3 linked regions of the Pelodiscus sinensis genome follow. The protein of the gene in region 1 purifies or fractionates together with the protein of each later gene. This does not show direct contact. Links are inferred from orthologs where the notes say so. Each region holds a gene or a part of one and is shown on either strand. Other genes may lie near its edges.

What was found. Proteins that work in one complex are often made in the same cells at the same time.
Region 2: the proteins of ubiquitin carboxyl-terminal hydrolase 36 (region 1) and DHX33 purify together in Homo sapiens (affinity purification with mass spectrometry; 5 studies listed by BioGRID and IntAct, counting the BioPlex papers as one, with this or other methods). This does not show direct contact. The link is inferred for Pelodiscus sinensis from reciprocal best matches to the Homo sapiens genes USP36 and DHX33.
Region 3: the proteins of ubiquitin carboxyl-terminal hydrolase 36 (region 1) and GNL2 purify together in Homo sapiens (affinity purification with mass spectrometry; 3 studies listed by BioGRID and IntAct, with this or other methods). This does not show direct contact. The link is inferred for Pelodiscus sinensis from reciprocal best matches to the Homo sapiens genes USP36 and GNL2.

What each region holds. Positions count from the first base shown.
Region 1 is NC_134730.1:29,157,133-29,160,874, reverse strand, and holds the start of ubiquitin carboxyl-terminal hydrolase 36, read right to left. Parts: upstream 2,708-3,742; 5' UTR 2,588-2,707; intron 1,569-2,587; 5' UTR 1,431-1,568; intron 113-1,430; 5' UTR 68-112; coding exon 1-67. UniProt on the Homo sapiens protein: Deubiquitinase essential for the regulation of nucleolar structure and function. Required for cell and organism viability.
Region 2 is NC_134731.1:25,902,924-25,906,665, reverse strand, and holds the start of DHX33 (ATP-dependent RNA helicase DHX33), read right to left. Parts: upstream 2,411-3,742; 5' UTR 2,317-2,410; coding exon 2,139-2,316; intron 1-2,138. UniProt on the Homo sapiens protein: Implicated in nucleolar organization, ribosome biogenesis, protein synthesis and cytoplasmic dsRNA sensing. Stimulates RNA polymerase I transcription of the 47S precursor rRNA.
Region 3 is NC_134735.1:9,880,172-9,883,913, forward strand, and holds the start of GNL2 (nucleolar GTP-binding protein 2), read right to left. Parts: upstream 2,898-3,742; 5' UTR 2,746-2,897; coding exon 2,682-2,745; intron 1,989-2,681; coding exon 1,904-1,988; intron 960-1,903; coding exon 865-959; intron 568-864; coding exon 428-567; intron 1-427. UniProt on the Homo sapiens protein: GTPase that associates with pre-60S ribosomal subunits in the nucleolus and is required for their nuclear export and maturation.

The DNA.
Region 1 (3,742 bases):
CCCCATCCTCAGCAGAGTCCTTCCGGCCTGGCTTGAGCGCCTCCTTCAGCTTGTCCACGATGGGCATGGCGCAGCGGGGGCGGCTCAGCTGGCTACCCGGGGACGCGTCTCTCTGCAGGGGAGAGCAGGAGGAGTCTGGCCAGGCGGGAACTGCCACAGAGCGCCCAGAGCCATGTCAGACACGGGGGGGGGGAGGGTCAGTCTGCAGGAGCCCTGGCCTGCCAGCCCCCCAGAGAGCTCAGCACGCCGGTCAGCGCCGCCCTCCCGCTGCCACGGGGCCAGCGGAGCGTCTCCGCTCTGCCAGCTACGCTGGGACCTGCCCAGAGACAGCCCATGGCTCCGCGAAGCAGGGAGAGCCAGGAAAGGAGTTATGGGTCCCAAGAGCACCAGGCCACGCTCCACACTGCTCCCAGACCCACCAGCAGCTCCCTCTACCCCAGGGCTGGGGACCCTGGTAGGGTCGGGGGCCACACGAGCAAGCAGCAAAAAGAAACACCCCTCACAGACACGGCCCCCGGCTGAGGAGCAGAAATAGGGGCGCGAGCAACTGGCTGGCTAGCAAATGCCAACTCCACCCGTCACTTCCCCCCCTTTGCTGCCTCCATCAGAGAGAGGCAGCAAGCGGGGGGGGGGGGGGGGGGGGGCAGAGGCAGGAGTCAGTGCTGGGGATGGGGGGCAGCTGAAAAGCCGGTCCCCCCTGCACTGCCTCTGGGGGGGCAGAGGGGAAACAGCGCGAGGGGGGACTGAAGCAGCCCCTGCTCCCCCCACGTGGCGCTGGCTAGATTTCTGAATCAAGCACTGCAGTGGGAACTAGGGGTGTCGGACACTAGTCGACTCCTTGCTTCCCCCCCTCGTTGCCTCTAGGACAGACAGCGGGGGGGGGGGGGGGGCAGGAACCAGTGCTGGGGGAAGCTGGCTTAAAAACCAGTTCTCCCCAGAACTGTCTCCAGGGCTCCACCTGCCCCCCACTGCTTCTATAAGGGCAGGGGGGATGGGGAGGCTGCTGCTAAGCACCCCCTGTCTGCAGGGGTCCCAGTGGGGAGCAGCCCCCGCTACAGACAGGCTCAGTCCCGCTGCAGCGGCTCCACGGCCCATGGGGCTAGCTAGGTAACGGCAACGGAGCATCCTTAAGCAGAAAGGCCCCTCGCGCCCCAGGGCCCTGGGGCCAGGCGACTCGCTGTCTGTGCGTCAGCCCCATGGGGGGCGGCTGGGCCTGGAGCTCCAACACGGGCTCCCCAGTGCCGTGGGGAGGAACCCCCATCTGGGGGGGCTGACCCCCCGGGCCTCAGGCTCCCCACCCGGCCCCACCTGGGCAAGAGCCGCAGGGCGCAGCCCCCCCACCCCCGGCCGGACACAGGCAGCGGAGCGAGCTCCTGGGCGGCACCGCAGGGCCCCGGCCCCCGGCTCCCCCTGCGGCGCGGGGCTCTCACCTCCAGAGCCGGGGCTCAGCCGGCCCCTGCGGGGGCATCTGCGCTGGCGGGAGCGCCCGGGCCCGGCGCAGCGGGGGAGCCGGGGGGCCACTGCCCTGGCAGGGGGACGCGCTGCTCCCGGCCGGGAGGGGACACGGGCTGTGGCGGAGGCGAGGAGGGTCAGACCAGGCCGGGCGGAGACAGACCCGCCCCCCCCAGCAGGGACCGCCCCTGCGCCCCGCAGCGCACCCGCCCCCCCGCTCGCCCTGCTCCCCCCGCCCCCCAGGCCGCCCGGCCCCCCCCCTCGCCCTGCTCCCCCCGCCCCCCAGGCCGCCCGCCCCCCCCGCTCACCCTGCCCCCCGCTCGCCCTGCTCCCCCCGCCCCCCAGGCCGCCCGGCCCCCCCGCTCGCCCTGCTCCCCCCGCCCCCCCAGACCGCCCGGCCCCCCCCCGCTCCCCCCGCCCCCCCAGACCGCCCGGCCCCCCCCCGCTCGCCCTGCTCCCCCCGCGCCCCAGACCGCCCGGCCCCCCCCCCCCGCTCGCCCTGCTCCCCCCACCCCCCAGGCCGCCCGGCCCCCCCCCCGCTCGCCCTGCTCCCCCCGCCCCCCAGGCCGCCCGCCCCCCCCGCTCACCCTGCCCCCCGCTCGCCCTGCTCCCCCCGCCCCCCAGGCCGCCCGGCCCCCCCGCTCGCCCTGCTCCCCCCGCCCCCCCAGACCGCCCGGCCCCCCCCCGCTCCCCCTGCTCCCCCCGCCCCCCCAGACCGCCCGACCCCCCCCCCGCTCGCCCTGCTCCCCCCGCCCCCCAGACCGCCCGGCCCCCCCCCGCTCGCCCTGCTCCCCCCGCCCCCCCAGCCCCCCCCCGCTCGCCCTGCTCCCCCCGCCCCCCCAGACCGCCCGGCTCCCTCCGCCCCCCCAGACCGCCCGGCCCCCCCCCGCTCGCCCTGCTCCCCCAGACCGCCCGGCCCCCCCCCGCTCGCCATGCTCCCCCCGCCCCCCCAGCCCCCCCCCGCTCGCCATGCTCCCCCCGCCCCCCCTGCCCCCCCAGCCCGCCCCCGCTCGCCCTGCTCCCCCCGCCCCCCCAGACCGCCCGGCCCCCCCCCGCTCGCCCTGCTCCCCCAGACCGCCCGGCCCCCCCCCGCTCGCCATGCCCCCCCCGCCCGGCTCGCGCCCCCCCCCGCTACCTGCTCCGGCTCCGGCCTCTCGCAGCATCCGGGCCTCCGCGGCCGCACACGTGTCTGCGCCTTAAAGGGGAGGAGTCGGCGCCTGCGCGGGACCCGCCACATAACCCCCGCTCCCCGCGCTCACCGCCTCCCCTTTAAGGGGCGGGGTCTGCGCAGGCTCCGCGCCGTGACGCGATGGCGTAACCTCGTCCCGCTGCGCCTTCTGCGCGTGCCACCCACAGCCCCGCCCCCTGGCCGCGTGGCCCCGCCCCCGTGCCGTGGCCGGGAGTTCCGCAGGGCGGCGCGCCCGCCCGGCTGCACGCGGCTGCCTGTAGCGCCCCCTCCTGAGTCCGCCTGGCACGGGAGCTTGCCACAGCCCTGCTCCTCCCTGCCCAATGGCCCGTCTCATGTTTCCCACCCAAGGCGGAATAAATGTTGTTCTGTGCACCAAGGCATGTGCGGATGTGCACCACCAACAGACACACACGCATGGGCACTGTGCTAATTAGCCGGGTGGAATTTAACCTCTCCTGGCCGGAAGCCCAAGTGCTCAGCTTACGGGAACCCCATCTCTCCTGCCCTTCTCTGTCTCTTTGCCGGTTCCATGGCTGGGTAGCTGCAGGCTGTAGCCAAAGCATGGGCGTACCATGGATTTCTACGGGGGCTGTGAGATCTTGTGTCGTTTCTGTCCCTTGCCTGCCGCTTCCCACCACTGTTCGCTGTTCCTGCCGCTGCACGCTGAGTCCTTGTTTTCAGAGCCGTTGTTCTTGAGCGGTGGCCGCGCAGAAGGCGCAGCGGGACGAGGTTACGCCATCGCGTAGACCCATCATTTGGTGCCTATGGCCAGGACCATGTTTCCCAATGCGCTTGACTCTGCATTTATCAGCCCTGAACTTCATTTGCCATTTTGTTTTGTTGCCAGTTGCCCAGGCTCTGCCCAGTCTGCTTTGAACTTAGCTATCCAGAGTAGTTTTGTATCAGCTACAGACTTTGCCACCTCGCCCTTTACCCCCTTTTCTAGACCGTTTCTGAACCTGTGCAACAGCCCTGATCCCAGGACAGGTCTTGTGGGGGCACCACTATTTACCTCTCTAGTTTGAAAACTGACTGGTGCTGCCATCTCCAGTCGTCAGAGAGGGGAGCTGTGTTAGTCTGTGTCCACAAAAACAGGAAGTC
Region 2 (3,742 bases), on another chromosome or scaffold:
TACTTTAGGGAAATTTTTATTTGGACTAGGGATTTAAAATTCTGCTTAATTGGTTAACCAGTTAAATGTTATGTGTAACCAGTTAACTGATTAAACAAGGTAGGGGTGGGGGAAGAAGAGTGAGGGGGGATTTGATAGCAGCCTTCGACTTCCTGAAGGGAGGTTCCAAAGAGGATGGAGAGAGGCTGTTCTCAGTAGTGAGGGATGGATGGCAGAACAAGGAGCAATGGTCTCAAGTTACAGTGGGGGAGGTCTAGGTTGGAGATTAGGAAAAACTATTTCCCTAGGAGGGTGAGGAAGCACTGGGATGGATTTCCTAGGGCGGTGGTGGAATCTCCATCCCTAGAGGTTTTTAAGTCCCGGCTTGACAAAGCCCTGGTTGATTTAGTTGGGATTGGTCCTGCCTTGAGCAGGGGGGCTGGACTTGATGACCTCCTGAGGTCTCTTCCAGCTCTATAATTCTATGGGGGGAGTGGCCACCACAGCCAGGCAAAGTGGTCTCTGTGCTGCAGATCAGGCTATTCCAGCTCAGCTGCTTCGGACCCCATGCTGGGCTTCTGCCTCCCTGCCCAAGCAGGCTGGGAGTTGGCAGCCTCGCACAGGGCAGAAGGGAGCTGGCAGCCTCCCTCTCCCATCTCCCTACTTCCCCCATGCAAGGCTACCATCTCCCAGGCCATAAGCCTCCATGGGTTGGGAGCCAGCAGCCCTTTCCCACCCCACTGCTGCTTCCACATACCCCAGCAAGGCTGCCAACTCGGCCACAGGTGGGGGGCTGCTCCCAGGTAACGTTAACCATAATCCAGTAAGCGTCACCCATTAATGGTGAAGCTCACTGGGTAACCGGTTATCCATCCACATCCCTAATTGAGACATGTCAGTTTCTTGTGGAATCCACAGAGACTACAAATACTTGATTATATCTAACATGACTCCACCACGACAGTATCTGAGCACCTCACAATCTCCAGGGTAATTATCCTTGAAACACTCCTATGAAGCTGAGCAGTGCTATTTACTCCATTTTTACAGTTGGGGATACTGAGGCAGGGCAAGCAGGTGATTAGCCCAAGGTTACATAGGAAGTCTGTGGCAGAGCTGGGAAATTGAATTCAGAACTCTCAAGTCCTAGGCTAGGGCCCTCACCACTGTCCTTCTCTGCTACACACATCTAAAATATGATCAAGCCGGAGTCTATCACTATCCCAGTCTCAGCAACAGCTGTGGCACTAAACTCTAGGGATGTAATTTTTTTTTTAAATTATTAACCGTAAAATTGGGGCTGCTGTGGGGACACCAGGGTTCTGCGGCTCCCAGCAGCACTATGAAGAGTACCAATATGTAACCAATGTAAGCAATGCAGCTCTTGCGCATGCGCAGTGCGGGGCCGGCGAGCAGCATTCGCTGCCGTTTTCAAGCCCTGTCTATGAGCCTCCCCCACCCCAGGCAGAGGAGGAATAAGCTACAGCTCTGCCCTGGGAGGAAGAGGACTAGCTGGCATGTGGCCCCGGTATGGGCTGGGCGGGGGGCGTGGTTCACTGTCCCAAGCAGTGGCACTTAGACCACTTTTGGAGAGAAAGAATGAGTACGCACTACACACTTAGCGACAGCCAGTTGCCTTTGAGCTCAAGCTATGTCGAGACTCATGCACTAAGCTCCAGAAATCCCAGGTTTGGTTCTGCATGTCGGCGTTACAAGTGCGGAAACAGGGCTGTCATCCCACGAGCACCTCACAAGTGGGGAGGGGGAATGAAAAGCTCCTCCTGTCAGGCGAATGGGCTATGGCGTGTGCCCTGGGAGACAAAAAAAGGTGGGAAAGCCCAGCTGACGGGGTGTAGCAAACTCCCCCCTTCCCCTGCCCTCCAGTGTGTGTGTGTGTGGGGGGGGGGGGTGTCCAGGACAGTTGTTCCTTGTAAGAAAGCTAAGTGCTTGGGTGACCAGGCAGGAGCGCTTCAAATGCCACCCAGCTGATTAGCAAAGCGCACACAGAGGGCATCACGTGTTACTGCGGGTGGTGCACATCCGCCCGTGCCCCGGTGCAGGTAAGATTTATTCCGCACACAGATGTAAAGAGACAGCAGGAGCACTGCTCCGGGGCCCTCCAGCGGGGGAAGGCGGGGGCAGAGGGAAGGGTCGCTCACCGATGAGGACGGCGCTGTCCAGGCTCCGGAGCTGGCTGAGCAGCTGCCCCCGCGCCTGGAAGATGGGCAGGCCCCTGCGCTGGGTCTCCCCGGCGGGCGGCGGCCGCAGCATGGCCCTGCCGGGCGGGGCCGCCAGCTTCAGTCTCTTGGCCGGGGGCCGCGCGCCGTCCTGCGGCATCGCCCCCGGGCCGGGACCAGCTCCCAGGGCGGCGGGGAAACACGCGGCCGCCCCGCCCCGCCCCGCCCACGTGCTCCAGCTGCCGGCCGCGCACAGCGATTGCCGCCCGGCGGCGCGACGGCCCGCGGGACTACAGCTCCCAGCGTGCACCGCGGGCTCGGAGCGGGGGAGGCTGGGAGTTGTAGTCCCCGCAGGCCCCGCAGGCCAGGGGCGGTCCATAAAACGATGGAAGGCAGTAGAGGGCGGAGCTTCCATTGTGACGCTTGTGTCGCAGTTACAAGGAGGGGGGAGTCTTTAAAAAAATCACCCCAGAATGTTGTCATGTATGGACAACTTATTCTACCCCGTCCTTCTTGTTAAGGTGTGATTTTACTCCCCCCCCCCCAAAGGAATCACGTGCCTGCTCCCCACCATTGAGGGTGTTTGCCCCACTGCTCTCTCAGCTTTATACTGATAAAGCCCTACCTGGAGGAACGGTTTTAAGCCTTCTCTAAGGGGGCATCTACACTGCAGGGCTTAACTCGAAATAAGACACGCACATTGAGTTACGTTATGTCAATTGCATATCTTACTTCATAACTGGGATCATCTACACAGCACTTATTTCGAAAAAGAGCACTTTTCCTCCAACTTCCCTTAGTCATCGCACAATGAGGGTTACAGGAGTCAGAGTAAGACATCCTCCAGCTTGCCCGTATTTTGTCACTATGTCAAAAAAATTGTCTACTGTGTAGATACAGACTAAATTATTTCAGAATAGCGCTAGTTATTTCAAAATAGTGTTGCAGTGCAGACATACCCAAAGATATGTATTTACACACCATAACAAGGCATCTACTCACTCAGCCTATTGCCACAGGCACATTCACATGCTGTTCAGCATCTTGTCTTCAATCCTTTAAAGAATGCAAGAAAGATAACTACCCAGAGGTAGAGCCCTGGGAAGTCTATACTCAAGCCTTCAATATAAAGGATGATGGAAAAGGGGCACTTCGGAAATCAGAGCTGTCAGGAACAAAAAGTGGCAGGATAGGATAGGTGGAAAGAACAAAGATCTAATCATAGGAGTTAAAATGAAGAGGATCTGAAATAGGAATGTAAAATCCCATTTAATTGGTTAACTGGTTGAACTTAATGTTTAACCAGTTAACCTAGGAAAAGAGATGTGTCCAGGCTGGAGTGTCCCTTTCCCACTCCCACTGCCAACAGGGCTTACTCCACCCAGGCTAGAGTGGTCCTGCCCAAGGCAGGCACGGGGCTGCCCCAGTCTTCATGGGTTATCCCGAACCAGTAAACCTCACTCATTAAGAGTGAGGCTTATGAGTTAACCAGTTGGCCATCCACACCCCTTCTCTAAACTCCTTAGAAAAGAATGAACAGCACAGAGAGATACAGATGAAAGAAATACTCCAAGCAGTTGTAAATG
Region 3 (3,742 bases), on another chromosome or scaffold:
CACCCCCATGGGGGGATGGTGGGAAGGCTGGAGCACCAGCGTGGGCTCCCCAATGCTGAGGGAAGGAGGGAGCCCCCGCATTCAGCCCCCAGGTTTTAGGTTTCCCATCCCTGGCTTAGCTTATGACAGCCCGAGAGAGTAAGCTGCTAGGAAACCTCAGATCACTGAGATTCCTTCAGGCTGACACAATGGTACCAGCAGGCACCCAAAGAACTGCATCCATCTTTCCTCCACCAGAGAAGAGACCTTGATACAGACTGGGGGAGACAAGTTTGCCACCATAGGACACCACACAGCTCTGCACCAACTGAACAAATGCAATACGGCCACTCATAGATAATACTCCAGAAAACAAACCTAGGAATTAAGGCTCCTGCCCAGAACCATCTTAAGAGGTCTTTTGTGTGAGGAGATGCACAATACTCACATGAGGTGTAATTCGATCATGGAGAAGTGACATCGGCAGCTTGCTTTGCTTCATGACCACTTTGTATGGATCCTTCATAACAGTCTCCATTTCCTCTTGGAATTTCTGCAGGGATGACTGCTTGATCACACGAGTATTTCCTGGTATGGAAAAATAAACTTTGCACCTTCACATGTTCCCACACTGGGCAGAAAGCACATGCAAACCTAGTGTTTTTAGACTTCTTTTAGGAGTCAGAGTTGGGAACCCATGCTCTGAAAACGAGTCCTCTTTAAGGCATCTCATGTTGGGCCCCCAAAAATCAACCACCACATTAGAATCTTTTGGCTAGTGGATTTTGTTCCCCAAGTAACAGGGTCATACTATCCACATCATCCTTAGAATACCTAAATTACTATTATTTAAACCTTGCTGAATTGTGAGATAGAAACACTCACCAAACCATTTAATATTTGGTTCCACTCTTGCCACTGTTCCTGGTGCCACTGTGGACTGGTACTGCAAAGGCCTAATCACTTTACCACGATTGTTTCTAAGAATGAAAAACGAGAGCTTGTGTAAACACATAAGCAGCAGAGCCACACAGCAAGGGTCATAGTTCACGCCTTCCAATACAAAATCCACGTGATGGTCTGTCTGAACGAAAGGCCCTAAGGAAACAGATGCTGTATACAAAAGGGCACTTTTGCCGGCAACAGTACTGTTTGGAATGGCAAAATAATCTTTATAACTGAGACAACAGAAGAATTTAGGTCAAGCAGCATGTTCTCACCCAGACTGGAATTTCACCAGGATGCCGGGGTTATTCTTGCAAATATGCCACAGGGCCCTGTGTGACCAGGATATCAGTTTGCCATCCATGTACTGACCAGGACCAAATCTGTTCAGTTTATGGAGAAAACATATGACCTCTGGCTTTAGGGCAGCCAGTTTTACTGCACAAGGCATATTTGGAGGGAGCCGTTATGTCTGGCAGCATGTGCCAGTGTCAATGGAACAAGCGCACACAAACATTTGCTCCCGCAATGAACCTTTCCTCCCACATAAAGTCTATCAATACCAGTGAACAGCTGGAAACAATAACTGCCTATGGCTCATAATCAGATTAGGAGATGTCTGGGTTACCCAGGCAGGAGACAAGAATAAGAATTATCAATGAGTCTTTATTGGCATGCCAAGATATACAAGTGCTGCCAAGCCCCATGAGGTTAGGGTGGTGAGTTGGGAACCATCTAAGAGACCTGCTGGAGAGTCACTCCTGCTCCACTGGTGCAGGAAAGCGGTGGTTCTTCAGAGCACAGGTCTGTCTGTGTACCTGAGGGTCTTGACTCAAGGCTGCCACCTCGAAAGTTTTTATTCTGGGTTCAAATGCACAGGCAGGATGGGGACGCTAGAATTCCCATTGTCCTGGCTCCACTGCAGTGGCCACCCACTGGAGATACTCAGCTGGCCCACCAGGACAGCTGCCAGCCTCACCTGCGCTCCTTCTGCCGGTACATGTTCAGCCGCCGGATGGTCGCCCTGTCCCGCACATTGTGGCCCCCAGCGCCCAGCACCCGATCTAGGGAAGCAGGGCAGAGTCAGTGGACAGTGAAAGGTCTCACTGGGGGGGAATGGGCCAGGGTGAGGGTCTGGGGGAGGAAAGAAGGTGGTAGCACTATGGGAGGGGGCGGATGAGAGTTGTGGCACTATTGGGGCGTGCAAGGGGTAGGGTTGCAGTGCTGTCGTGAAGGGAGGGGCGAGGACTGTGGGGGAGGGTTGTGGTGTGGGGGGAAGAAGGGGACGGGGTGGAGGCGACAGCTGGGGGGGGAGAAGAGAGGACAAGACACGGGCGGAGGGCACTGCCAGGGGGGAGGGCAGGAGACCGCCACAGGAGGCAGCACTGGAGGAGGGGGGGGAAAGGAGATGGGACGGGGGCGGAGGGCGCCGCCGGGGGGGGGGGGGAGAAGAGGGGACGGGACGGGGGCGGAGGGCGCCGCCGGGGGGGGGGAAGAGGGGACGGGACGGGGGCGGAGGGCGCCGCCGGGGGGGGGGAAGAGGGGACGGGACGGGGGCGGAGGGCGCCGCCGGGGGGGGGGAAGAGGGGACGGGACGGGGGCGGAGGGCGCCGCCGGGGGGGGGGAAGAGGGGACGGGACGGGGGCGGAGGGCGCCGCCGGGGGGGGGGAGGGGAGGAGACGGGACGGGGGCGGAGGGCGCCGCCGGGGGGGGGGAAGAGGGGACGGGACGGGGGCGCCGCCGGGGGGAGGCGGTACCGGGGTTGGTGCTGGCGCGGGACGGGTTGATGCTGCTCCGGCCCTTGTAGCGGGGCTTCACCATCCTGAGGCCGGTGTCTGGCCGGGGCGAGGGAGGGGCACGAGCGCGGTGTCTCGGACCGGGCGCTCTCGCGTCTCTCGCCGGCGGCCCCACGCGCGCGGGCAAAGCCGGAAGCGGCCCCACGAGCACTTCCGGCGGCGAGCGGGACGTGTTTCCGCCGGCTCTTAGGCCCAACCTCGGCTCCCGGTCACCTTGGCAGCCGCGGCCCCGAACAGCGCGGGGGGCGGGATACTGCAGCGTGACGTCACCGCGGGCCGTGGTCACACGGGCTCATGACATCACCCACTCCCCTGGCCTCACTGTGCCGTGGTGCCATCACCACCAGCCGTGGTGACACGGGCTCATGACATCACCCCGTGCTCTGCTTAGGTTGAGCCATCCCGTGACCTCACTGTGTGGCTAGGAACCTGGGGTCATGACATCACCATATGCCAGAATCACTGTGCCGTGACGTCATCACAAGCCTGCTGAATCCGGGTCATGACATCGTTATGCTATGACATCACCGGATGGTTGGGTGGCCTGTTAATGGTGGTTTTAAAGCTGCTGCCTGTTAATTTCTTGTGCTCGGGGAGGTGCTAACTAGCACTTCCCTGTTCACTTTCCGCACACCATTCATGGCTGTACCAACCTTGATCCTATTCTTCCCTGAGTCATGGCTTTTGCAGGGTGAACAGTCCCGCCACCAATGCAACTGTACTAGGGTTGCCAACCCTCCAGGATTGGCTGAGAGTCACCTGGAATCAGCAGCAATCTCCCGGCGACTCTTGAAAAAGTCATTTTAATAGGCTAGTTTAAGAAAATGACATTATCTCATGTTGGTTAAAAAAAATCCCGGGATAGCTTCAGTCAGCGTTGGCATCCTTAAGTTGTGCTGCTGTCATTCTTTGATGAAGAAGCTCTAAAAGGAGGGAGAGTTCTTCCATCAGCTTAGTTACTTCATCTCCACAAGAGACAGTAGGCATGTTGGCAGGAGACACTCTCACATCAGCTTAGTGCT